4 linked regions of the Saccharomyces cerevisiae S288C genome follow. Changing the gene in region 1 together with any one later gene gives a genetic interaction. Each region holds a gene or a part of one and is shown in the gene's direction. Other genes may lie near its edges.

Evidence for each region.
Region 2: mutations in EGD1 (region 1) and YDR248C together harm fitness more than expected from each alone (negative genetic interaction), as found in Saccharomyces cerevisiae (2 studies listed by BioGRID).
Region 3: mutations in EGD1 (region 1) and YGL081W together harm fitness more than expected from each alone (negative genetic interaction), as found in Saccharomyces cerevisiae (2 studies listed by BioGRID).
Region 4: mutations in EGD1 (region 1) and ATP10 together harm fitness more than expected from each alone (negative genetic interaction), as found in Saccharomyces cerevisiae (2 studies listed by BioGRID).

The regions. Positions count from the first base shown.
Region 1 is NC_001148.4:480,903-483,809, reverse strand, and holds EGD1 (Egd1p), read left to right. Parts: upstream 1-1,908; coding exon 1,909-2,382; downstream 2,383-2,907. Other genes in the region: H(+)-exporting P2-type ATPase PMA2, read right to left, coding at 1-967; MET31 (Met31p), read right to left, coding at 2,742-2,907. UniProt on the Saccharomyces cerevisiae protein: Component of the nascent polypeptide-associated complex (NAC), a dynamic component of the ribosomal exit tunnel, protecting the emerging polypeptides from interaction with other cytoplasmic proteins to ensure appropriate nascent protein targeting.
Region 2 is NC_001136.10:957,216-960,226, reverse strand, and holds YDR248C (gluconokinase), read left to right. Parts: upstream 1-1,887; coding exon 1,888-2,469; downstream 2,470-3,011. Other genes in the region: YDR249C (uncharacterized protein), read left to right, coding at 425-1,546; putative serine/threonine protein kinase VHS1, read right to left, coding at 2,829-3,011.
Region 3 is NC_001139.9:355,661-358,879, forward strand, and holds YGL081W (uncharacterized protein), read left to right. Parts: upstream 1-1,716; coding exon 1,717-2,679; downstream 2,680-3,219. Other genes in the region: MIY3 (Miy3p), read left to right, coding at 167-1,312; pyruvate transporter MPC1, read left to right, coding at 2,976-3,219.
Region 4 is NC_001144.5:905,208-908,436, forward strand, and holds ATP10 (Atp10p), read left to right. Parts: upstream 1-1,871; coding exon 1,872-2,711; downstream 2,712-3,229. Other genes in the region: ART10 (Art10p), read right to left, coding at 1-1,098; SUMO ligase CST9, read left to right, coding at 2,743-3,229. UniProt on the Saccharomyces cerevisiae protein: Essential for the assembly of the mitochondrial F1-F0 complex.

The DNA.
Region 1 (2,907 bases):
CAATTCCATTCAATACTTCAGTGAAATGGCCCTCTACACCGGAAGCCTGCCCCACTAAGGCGGCAGCCCTACCGACGAAGGTATTGTCACCAGTGGCAGTAACAACCATAAAAGCCTCGCCGGTTTTCACAGTGGATGAGGAGAACACCTCATCACCGTAATGCTTTTCAGCGGCTAAGGATTCACCAGTGATGGCCGATTGATCGATCTGCAAAAAACAGTCTTCAGTGACAATACGACCATCTGCGGGAGCAATTGTGCCACTTTCCAATTGCAAAATCTCACCAGGAACTACCTCATTAGCCGGAATTTCGATCAATTGGCCATCTCTAATAACTGTTGCAGTATTGGCCAACGTCTTTTTCAGCTCGTCTACGATGGAACCTGCCTGGAATTCTTGAATAAATCCGACAGATGCGTTTAATAGCAGTAAAGCACAGATGACACCGACATCAACCCAATCAGACAAACCGGCAGCCAAAATAGCAGCAGCCTCCATAACGAATTGAATAGGCCCTACGAAGAACATCAAAAACTTCACAATCAACGATTCATTCTCCTCAGCCATTTGATTTAACCCATATTTCTTTCTTCTCCTGGCGACTTCATCCGAAGTCAAACCATACGCAGGGTCCGTAGAAAGGTCCTTTTCAGGAACAACCCTTTGGCCAGCGTGCACCCCATCAGTACGTACTTCTTCTTCACCAGATTCATCACCCTCACCGTAGTTAGATTGTAGTTCATCAATCAATTGGTCTATATCTTCATCTGAGTCAGAATCATCAGCGGCAGAAGCGGCTGCGGCCTTCCGTGGAACGGCTGCAGCCGATGACGAGGCGGAAGTTGATGTAGAAGACGAAGATGACGAAGAAGCGGCAGAATTATTTGCAGGGTCATCGCCATCACTGGCATGGAGGTACTCTTTCGAGGGTTTCTCCTTGTATTGCTTTGCTTCAGTGGAAGACATAACGCAAAACAGTTTCCTTTTGCTTAAATTGTACTAGCACACAGCAACGAAAAATGAAAAAAAAAAAGTTATGGGTATGTTTAAAAAAGCCCAGTAGCTTGGATACAGTAGGTTATCCAGCAAGAAATGCTGGAAGAAATAATAGATGGTAAAAGAGGATATTACACACCTTTATATAACGAAGTACCATCACACCGCCAATTACGTTTAGGGGACGCCGACAAGAAGTAAATTCACTATTATGTACTTACAAATATGTTTCCACCGATAACCTTTCCCCCTTCGACGGTTATTTGAGCAGCGTCTGTCCGCCATTTTTCCAGAGAAGCTACTTCATCAATCAATTGACTTCGCAATTCCCTTAAACAAAAAAAATTTCTTTTGCCCTCCCTCGACGATTTTGGAGTAGAGAATACCTTAGGCCTTTTTTTTTCTTTTTTCTCACGGCTGCTCTTCCTCTTTTTCGCATATTCTATTTTATCATCGACTTCCCTAATTCGCACTCGTACCAAAATGTTAAGCAGTATGGCGAAGAACGTGGCGCGCTGGAGTCGTGAATGTTTGGGTCCTTGATGATGGACTACGGTAGTAAGTATGTAGTAGTTGCAACTTCATATGTTCACTTCTGATCCAAGGAAGAGCGGTTATGAATTAATCTCTTGGCATGAGCGGACGGGTAAGGGGACACCGCCTTTTCTTCGATGGGAATCAGGGTAATGGTATATGATGGATTATTGTGGAATCATTTAGTACGGCAGATGTTGAAAAAAAAAGCAGAAAATTTTTGAATTTTTTTCGTTGACATTGGAAGATTTCGTAGTGGAAACAGCTGCAATTGCTTGTTAAGTAGTAACCCCTCCTTTGTCACAAGAGAGCGAATATTCTTTCTAGGGAGGTTTAAGAATAGAACATCTCACACCAGACGCGACTCATAATTCATAATGCCAATTGACCAAGAAAAATTAGCTAAGCTACAAAAGTTGTCTGCTAACAACAAAGTTGGTGGTACTAGAAGAAAGCTTAACAAGAAGGCAGGCTCTTCTGCCGGTGCCAACAAGGATGACACCAAGTTGCAAAGTCAATTAGCTAAGTTGCACGCTGTCACCATTGACAACGTCGCCGAAGCCAACTTTTTCAAGGACGACGGTAAGGTCATGCACTTCAACAAGGTCGGTGTCCAAGTTGCTGCTCAACACAACACTTCTGTATTCTACGGTCTACCACAGGAAAAGAACTTGCAAGATTTGTTCCCAGGTATTATCTCTCAATTGGGCCCTGAAGCCATCCAAGCCTTGTCTCAATTGGCTGCCCAAATGGAAAAGCACGAAGCCAAGGCTCCAGCTGATGCTGAAAAGAAGGATGAAGCTATTCCAGAGTTAGTTGAAGGTCAAACTTTTGATGCTGACGTCGAATAAATAACTTAATCTTTAATTTTAACGTTAAATAAAAAAACACATATTTTGTTCCATTTTTTTTCATTTTTTTTAGCATATCTAAAGCATATAATACAAACACTGTTTTCTGCAAAAAAAAAAAAATAAAAAATAAAATATAAAAAAACAATATACCACACTATGCTGCACACGTGAAATGATGAACTTGTACGTCACCACTTTGTGCGCAAAAAATTGGCAAAAGTAGAGAACATGTCACTAACTGTATCGGAATATTACAACGTTTTTTTATTCTACTTATCTCAATGGCTAAAGTATATATCTATCTATATATGTATGTGTAGGTGTGCTGATGGAGACAAATACGTTTTCCTCTAGCCTTACAACAGGCCGGTACCATTCTTTATCGCATCCTTGATGAGCTCATCTACATCAACGTCTGAACCTTCACTTAGTTTCTTTCTGTTTCTTTGACAGGTCAGTGTGTTAGAATGTCTTTTTAGAGCATCCTTCCTGGCAAACCCTTTGCCACAGTTTGAGCAAATA
Region 2 (3,011 bases), on another chromosome or scaffold:
AATGGCCCACAGCACGGCCAACAGGGGGCTGCGACAATTTCGCGTAGAGCCCATTGTGAAAAAAGCCACCCAAGCTATTATTGTACACAGAAGAATATGGAAGCAAATCGCCAGTGCTACGTGAATGGGACAAAAACATGATGCCTTGTTTAGTATTAGCATTTTAGATACGCCTTTTCAACTTCAAATTGTGCTATAGATAGGAAGATCTCTTTATTACGCAATATATGTTGTGTGTATTTAGGATAAGACTATATCGTCCAACCATACACCGCGTTTCATCTTGTCTTTTTTGCAGCTAGTAAGAATTAAGCATCAAGAATTGTTCAGTTTGCGATGAGTAATGAAATATATTTAAAGAGGACTAATGTTGTTAAAGTAAGCAGTGCTTTTTTCACGCAGTGTATTTTTAGAATAAGTGGCCATGGGTTATATTTTGACAGGATATTCTAGCCGTCATGATAAGAGAAAGAAACATGCACTTCCTTTGCATCGGTATGCATCGTCTTCGATAAACTTGCAGCACCATGTGCATCTCTTAGAGACCCGGGTTTCATCCAAGAGGCCAATATCGGAAGATCAAAGGACTATCAGGCTTCCTGCGAAGAAACTTAGGCATCATCAAAAGCTAACTTTGCAAGATTTACCTGTAGAGATTATTCAACATATTTTCGTTTTCACAAAGGGTGAACCGTCGATGGTCACCTTGAACAGGTTCTTCTATAGTTGCTTGAAGCCATCTTTTTCATTATTATCGAAGATCATGTGGGAAAAATATCTTTTCGATCCCCTGGAGTTTGGCGTAAGTAATATAAAAGCTTATTCAAGAAATATTGTGATCCCTACATTATTTGAGCATGAAACTTTTTTTAGACTACTACTAGATCATCATCCTATCCTGTTGAAAAATATTTCTCATTTTCTTCCCAGAAAGCACTATCAAGATATGCAGAATGGCGATTTTGATACATCTAAAGAGCTAGACTTGTGTTCAATGAACACTGAAGATACATCGAAAGAAGACTTCCCTAAAAACTTTTACAACAATATGCATATTTTTTTAACACGTAGGGAATGTGTGAAGTCTCTAGGTAATCATTTTACTTTGAAGAATCCATATGATGTGATATCCCCTTTTATAGAATGGTTTTTTCAAGGTATTGATATGCAAGGAACTGACCTAAGCCCTAAGTTTACCTTTGTTTCTCTATTTGAATCAATAGATTTAATCCTATACGTCTCTGGATCTACAGTGCAAAAACTAGCGTCTATTGAACCCCTTACGACTGTAATATTTTTATTATATTTCACGTATGCTGATTCACTAGGGAGTCTGAACTTTGAGTTTTTTTTGCAGAATAGATCAAGATTACAGCTCATAGAGAAATTTATCCTGAAATATTATTACAATCCATCATTGACAGAAAACGAACTTTTATCTGATAGCACTATATGGGACCTGTTAAGGCGGGTGTCTGATTTAAAACTCATAGATTTGGTCGTTAAATGCGGCGGAAGGCCTCAATACGGGGTTATGTTTGCATAATTAAATTACTTAGTATTAAGATTCTGCCCCTTGCATGCATGCACAATATGTGCTTGCCAATTCATTTATGTACAAAAGATGGTGTTATATAAGGAATATATTTTGTTTTCTTTGATATTTTCCCTTTCTCATATTCTTGCGGTTTTTCTGCTTTCATTACGTCGCTAATTAGTTTGTCAAAAATTATAACACCGTTAGTTTCCAAGCAATAATTATATAAGGTCCCGTTAAAAAATATCGATAATCAAAAGGTTTTCAAGTAGCAAGCAATAAATAGCTTTCCGAAGACTAAACAGGCTTTCATAGTGTCTCAGTAAGCGTATGGATGGACAACGCAGTTGATGACAGAGAAACACAAAACTATGGGGAAATTTAAGGTTATTGTATTGGCAGGTACTGCAGGTACAGGAAAATCAACCATTGCAGGTGAACTAATCCATGAATTTAAAGATATATACCCGGATTTGAAATTCATCGAAGGTGATGATTTACACCCGCCTGCCAACGTAGAAAAGATGACAAGAGGGATTCCATTAAATGACGACGACCGTTGGGACTGGTTGAAAAAAGTTGCCGTAGAATCTACAAAAGCTGCAGCAAGCACTAAGGAGCATTTGTCAATTGTTGCTTGCTCGAGCTTGAAGAAGAAATACAGAGATTTGATTAGGCACACATGCCCTGAATCGGAGTTCCATTTTATCTTTTTGTATGCAAGTAAAATAGAAGTTCTGAAAAGGCTCAAAACAAGGAAGGGTCATTTCATGAAAGCTGATATGATGGAGTCTCAATTCAGGGATCTGGAGTTACCAGACATCAACGACGAAACTGACTGTGACATTGTTCCCTTAGATTTCAAAACGTTTTATCAAATTGAAAAAGATGTTATACAGGTGGTAAAAAGTAAAGTTTTGAATATTGAGTAAATAACGCTTGGATAAAACGAAGTAAATATTAGAAACAGTTATATAGAAATTAAATACGGTGACCTGGAAAATTAACAAAGACAGAACAAATGTGAATGAATAATAATAGCAACTTCCAAAAAAAAAAAAGGGGTTACAGGGATCAACAAAAAAAAGCAAGAAAAAAAATGAATAAAGGGAATACCATAAAAACAAATAACATTAAACGGATGAGGGGGTCATAACGGAAGTGTGAATATAACTACAACTTGCTTTGGCAAGTAATATTTTCGGGAAAACAGATGATCATCAAGAGAAGGTCTATCAATTGTGGGCTTAAAACAGATGTGTAGTACACTTTTGTGCCAAAAAGGAGGGGGTTAGTTAGTTAAAGAAGAGGAACTCATGCGAAGTTCGTTGAATTTTTTTTCGAACAAGGAAAATTTGTTGGAAATCTTAGAACATTCGTTATCGGACTCGCAAGAAGTGCTTGTGAACGAAGAATGCAATCCAGTGTCTGTGTCTAGCGTTCCGAAACTGCCACTGCGACTGCCATTATCATC
Region 3 (3,219 bases), on another chromosome or scaffold:
GGGATCAGGGGAATCACACGTTCAATAAATAAAGAAAGGATGAAACAGTCGTACAACAACCAAACATGAAGGAGGTACAGAGGAAGCAAACAAAACCAAATTTGCTAAAATCAAGACTGGGGCAATTTTTCAGTCCGTATACAATCGTTCACAGGAATTAGCCAATATGGATGTTACATTTCTAACCAAAAATGTTCAAATAAATGGCACTCAGTTTAAAATATTACTTCAAAATGGGCAAGGTGAATGCGCGCTAATTGCACTAGCTAACGTATTATTGATATCACCTGCCCATGCTCGCTATGCCCAAGAAATTTCCAGACTAGTGAGAGGCAAGGAAACTGTTACTTTAAACGAACTTGTGCAAACTCTAGCCGACATGGGCGTTCAAAATCCGAATGGTACAGATGTGGACAAACAACAGCTACTCCAAATCCTACCACAATTATATAGCGGATTGAACATCAACCCAGAATTTAACGGATCTTTTGAGGACGGCGTAGAAATGTCGATTTTCAGGCTCTACAATGTCGGCATCGTTCATGGATGGATAATAGATGGGGACAATGATCCGAACTCTTACGAACATGTGTCCAAATATTCTTATATGGGCGCGCAAAAAGTTTTGGTACAGTCGTATGAGATCCAAAAGAATAATGCCCAATTTGAAAACAGCGAGCAAATCCAATCTGATGCACCTTACTTAAAATCGTTTCTGGCAAGATCTGCCACACAATTGACTGAATATGGTCTAACTCATCTCAGAGAAATTTTAGTAGAAAGATCGTATGCCGTGCTTTTTAGAAATGATCACTTTTGCACATTATATAAAAACAATGGCGAATTGTTTACTTTGGTCACGGATCCTACTTACAGAAATCGCAAGGACATAAACTGGCAGTCGCTTAAATCCGTGAATGGATCGCAGGATTCTTACTACACGGGCAACTTCATTCCCACAAGTCTGGAAAGAACAGAAACTACTGCTACCGGGCAAAATGAGTCCTACATTTCTAACCCATTCAGTGACCAGAATACAGGGCATGTAACTAGCAACCAAGTTAATAGTGGAGCAAGCGGTGTTCAACAAATCGAAGATGATGAGGAACTAGCTAGGAGGTTACAGGAACAAGAAGATATGCGTGCGGCAAATAACATGCAAAATGGTTATGCTAATAACGGTAGAAATCATCAAAGGGAAAGGTTTGAAAGACCTGAAAAAAATTCAAAGAAAAACAAGTTCCTTCCCTTTAATGGGAGTAATAAAGAAAAGAAAAGAGACAAGTTGAAAAAAAACTGTGTAATTATGTGAAACCATGATTTCTTTTTCGTCTTTTGTATCTTTCTTATAGAATTATTTTTTTTGTGGGTGTCACCACGCTAGCGCTTATTTTTAACTCTACCACTTTTTAATTTTGTAAATGTATATTTTACTCCTTCATGGCGTTCAACTGGCCTATTTGTGATATATAACCTGATAATACCAATGATTTATTTTTTTTTACAGATTCCTTCTCCTAAATTTGTCCAAACAAAACGGCTCAAGAAGCCCCGAATAATGCACTACAGCGGAAATTAACATTTTTGGGATATCTTCACAGAATACTAAAGCAATCAAAGTGGCTCATAGTATTGAGTTTTACAAATTACTTGAAAAAAAAATAATCACTAGGCAGTTGCATAAAGTTGAAACTGAGGGAAGGAACTGGGGAAATCATGGGTGATATAAGAACTTTTGTTTTCGCTATAGAAGATACGGAAACAACACAAGGTTTGTGTAAAACCATTGGCCGTTCGAGTTCATTTGATCAAAATAGTCTATGTAAGCCGTACAATCTATATTTTGATGAGCCAGAACTAAGCAGACAGCATGCTGTCCTATGTATAAAGACACCAATACCCAAAATTGAAGGAGTTCCCTCTATAGAACAACTCCGCATCTGCATTCGGGATTTGAATAACAAGACTGGTACAGTAAACTTAGTGTCTGATGGGCCAAATGATGAAATTGATTTGAAAAATGGTGATGCTTTTGGTTTGATTGCAATTGATAATCATCCTTTTCGCGACAACCATCATTTAGCCGCCAAGTTAATTTTCCGAATTGAACTTGAGTATTTCGATGAAGCAAGGGAAATCGTAAAGTGCACTATTACAAATGTAACATTTGGAAAGAATAATACAGTGTCATCTTTCCCTATTCATTCTGCAACATCCACAGAAGATAGCGATTCAAGTTGGTACGGATTGTCGGAAGCGAGTACGCAAACGGAAGTTGCAGATGAGTGTCATGAAACGAACACCATATTGACTCGAGGTGGTAGGTTTTCTATCCTTTCGTTGAGAAAAAGAGGCAGCAAGCAAGACCAGAAGATCTGCAGTAACTTTGATAGAAAAATACATGAAACGAGTTCTTTCGAAGAAGAAATCGAAGTTTGCACTGACACAGACACCACAGAAGAAAAAGAAGAAGAAGAAGAAAAAGAAGAAGGGGATGATGAGGAAGGAGAAATAGAACTTGAAATTATTAGAGTAAAAAGAATAAAGGGCAGGACGAAGATAAAGAAGACGCTTACTTGCTTCTCGAAAAACAAGAAAATTATTACCCCTCAGCACTCCAATAGTATGTGGTTACTACTAATAGTAATCTTGATTTTTGACCGCCTACTATCGAATTAAATATAATTTTATAACCCAGTTCTATATTGCTGGGTGGTATTATAGCTTCATGGCTAGTCAAATAAGTGGAGTTTTTTGCTCTGGACGTGGCCTGTAAAGTTCTCTTTTGCGACGGCCCCCCGCTTTAACCGAGGCGAAATGACAAGTGCTTTCTGGCAAAGAAGGAATAGCCACTACAACCTGCGGTCTCCACCTTTCTCCACCGATAATCTATTTAAACACTCACTTGCCAATCAGCAAACGTCAATACATCTACATATATACGTATAGATTTTATTGCACTGTGATCAAAAAGAATGTCTCAACCGGTTCAACGCGCTGCAGCACGCTCATTCCTTCAAAAATACATCAATAAAGAAACTTTGAAATATATTTTCACAACACACTTCTGGGGTCCCGTATCAAATTTCGGTATCCCAATTGCTGCTATATATGATCTGAAAAAAGACCCTACACTAATCTCTGGCCCAATGACTTTTGCTTTAGTTACCTATTCAGGTGTTTTCATGAAGTATGCTCTTTCAGTATCACCCAAAAACT
Region 4 (3,229 bases), on another chromosome or scaffold:
GGTAATTTGCATTTTGCTCAAACTTGCTATATTCCCCTCCATGACTACATAGACCTTGTCAAAATTTTGGCTGCCAGACCTAAACAAGTAGTCTTTCCTGTATATTTGCTTCAAATCTCGACTTCTAACCTCTATTCTCATATTGCTTTCCCCATCAGGCAACCCCATTTTATAAGTAGATGGGAAAACTTTCATACCATTTACTAGGCGAGTAGATTGTCTTGTTGATGTGACTGATGATACCGGTCTCGATCTAATGTCGCCGTTTTCTATCAATATAGAATTAGCTTGAGAAAAGTTCCTGTCACTTTTTATATATCCGACTCCATTAACGACTTTGACGTCCTTTGATGGCACCTTTAAATTTGAACTATTGAAAAATTCATTGTTGGTGACCATACTATTTCCTCTACTATTGTTACTGAAGGCATTAAGTTCTTCATTGTCATCTTCATCAGGTTCTATAATAAGATCTTTTGGCTCAGGTATAAATTCGAACGTCTCGATTTCCCTTATCAGTTTATGGAATGGCTTAAACCAAGATGAAGATTTCCCTAGCTCTAATTGAACTTGCACCATATATATAACTTTTCCAAAAGAGTAAAAATACAAATCCAGATTATCGATTTTATTAAATTCTTGCCAATGACTATTGAACGTAGGTGGGAGTCGGGCATTACTTCTTGTCACAAACGCTACTGTCTTTGCCGTATGATTTTTCAGACATTCAGGCTTTCTGGGAAACTTGTCAAATTGAAAGCTATAATTATATGAACCTGGTTTAACTTTGAACGGCTTGGAGGAGCCATCAAGAGCATTCCATACATTATCTGGAGGGAAAACTCTCTGTTCGAATTTCATTAATGTATGAAAGGATTTGTTGTCTTGGCCCGGCATCATCATGCCATTCTGTTGAAACATGTACTCTTGATCAATTTTTGTTAAGGTCTCTGAGAATCCTTTTAGAATGACGGAAATTTTCCTTATAGATAGCGCTTTTGTTAACTGAAGACTAACTATCCCTGACATTTGATCATTAGAGCTATAAAACTCCCCGTTGTACGGTGGGTTTAAGGATATTGAAATTTTTGGAGCCATGGTTTGACAAACTGTATGGTTCTCAACCTTCTCTAATCAAAAGCAGAATCTTAAATATAAACACTCACAGAATATCCGTTGGTCAATGAAGTAATTCTCCTTTGTACTGGCTGCTTTTTCTCCTCTAGTTTATGTAATTCTACTTTTGGATGGGTGCGACTGCTTTTAATTGATTGAGTGGCGGTGTTAGAAGGGCTGTAGAGTCGAAGGCTTGTTTCTCTCTTACGCACCTCTTGTGAAAAGGGCGTGCACCTTCCCCAGGACCCTCTCTCACCCTCAACCCGCATTTTGCTGAGAATTTTCACCAAGGCCCTAGGTGATATTAGATTCCACCTGACTAATTGCATTACAGCCGACCCAAGGCAATATCAGTTTAATAAAATATCATGTATCTCACCCTCTTCTTGGTATTAGTAAAGAGACGCCTGATCTTGTAACAGTGGTGAAGATTGTACTAGAGCAGAATCAAGAATTTAAAAAGTGTAAAGGCAAGGCAGAGGCGATGTACATAAAACTTCGAAGTAAGAAATATTTAATAGTTCTCGCCACATCACTATGCAGCTATATAAAAACTACTATAAACGTTTGTTTTGTTCCTTACGCACAATATCCTTGCCTAGAAATCGTTTTTGAAATTTAAATTTTTATTACCATTTATTTGATTCGCCTTCAGAAAAATATGGAAGAGTGCATATTTAAAAAGGACTATTTCAGCATATAGTAAAAGTCAGGTTATTTGTTTATTTGCGATATCAGAGTAACTTAAACTAACTATGCAGGGCACTTTTAAAAGGTTTTACCATCCCACGCTTACGCGGATGTCCTTCTTGGATAAATTCCTCAAGCCTATGATGGCAACGGCTTCCCCAAAGGAATACCAGATCAAACAACTGGTCAAGCCAATAGGCTTAACACAAGCACCAAGGAAAAGCACCAAATACTCCCAGGGGAACTCTTTGAGGGATATGTTTGATTCGGAAAAGACAAACCACAGAGTTAAAGAGTTGGCCGTTGAATTCAGCAAATCTGGACTTTATGACGTGCAAGTCTTCCAAAAGACAAAGGGGAAATTGTTTATAGCTCCAGTTTCATATTGGAAAGAAGATAAAGCTTTGTTTTTTCCTCATTTGATAGGAACGGCAATGGATGGTACGAAACAACAGAATATCGAGGATATGTTAAGGGGTAAAACCAGTATAGTGAGGTTATTTAGTACAGCATCTGGCGATAAGTTGAGTAGTTCATACTTCCAAGGAATCGTAGACGATAACAAAAAAACTGACTACTTGACTGAAGCTGATGCGCGTTTAAGTTTAAATGACAGTAACGTCCAAATCATCGAGGTCAATCTTGTAGAAAACGCTGTGAAAAGTGCTCTAGTGAAAACGCTTGCTCGTTGGGCCAATCGCGTTCCATCCTGGCGCCAGCCATTTTATTTCGAATGTTCTAGAGGCCAATGGCCATTTTCCGTCAGGGAAGAGCTCTTTTGCAATAATGTCTTTTCTGGATACGTCTTTCTTGTGGACCAGCAGTTAAAAATTAGGTGGGCAGCTTGCGGGGAGGCTACTCCATCTGAAAAGGAAGCATTGTGGAAGTTTGCCAAACGTCTGTGAAGTTGACGCTTTGTGCGGCGGCCAACAAGGGATGGGCGGCTATTTGGCGATCGTGTTCATTCCCCAAACTAACACGAAGAGCATGAGAGAGAAAAAACAAAAGTGCTTGAAACAGGTAAGACGTTTATCATTGATATCACCAAAGAAATATATAATGCCGGATTCTATTTTTGAACAGCCCTTTGTTTACTGTGGTGTTTGCCACAGAAGAACATCGCATGGAGATCCATTGAGGCTGACCTCATGTGCTCATATCCTCTGTTCGCAGCATTCTCCATTAACATCAAAGGTGTGTCCTATATGCCGTTCGAGCGATATCTCCATCATTAACCTTGTGGAATCTAAACAGCTGCCTACCGACATTAGGATTTTTTTTGAGCCACTGCCCCCACTTTTGGAGTCGTTATATAATGTTTCCCAATTCCAACTGAATGGGCTTTCGAAACAGTGTCAATACTATCAAAATCATTGTTTAAAGTTGAGAGAAAAATGTGCAAGACAACAGCAGCTGCTATATC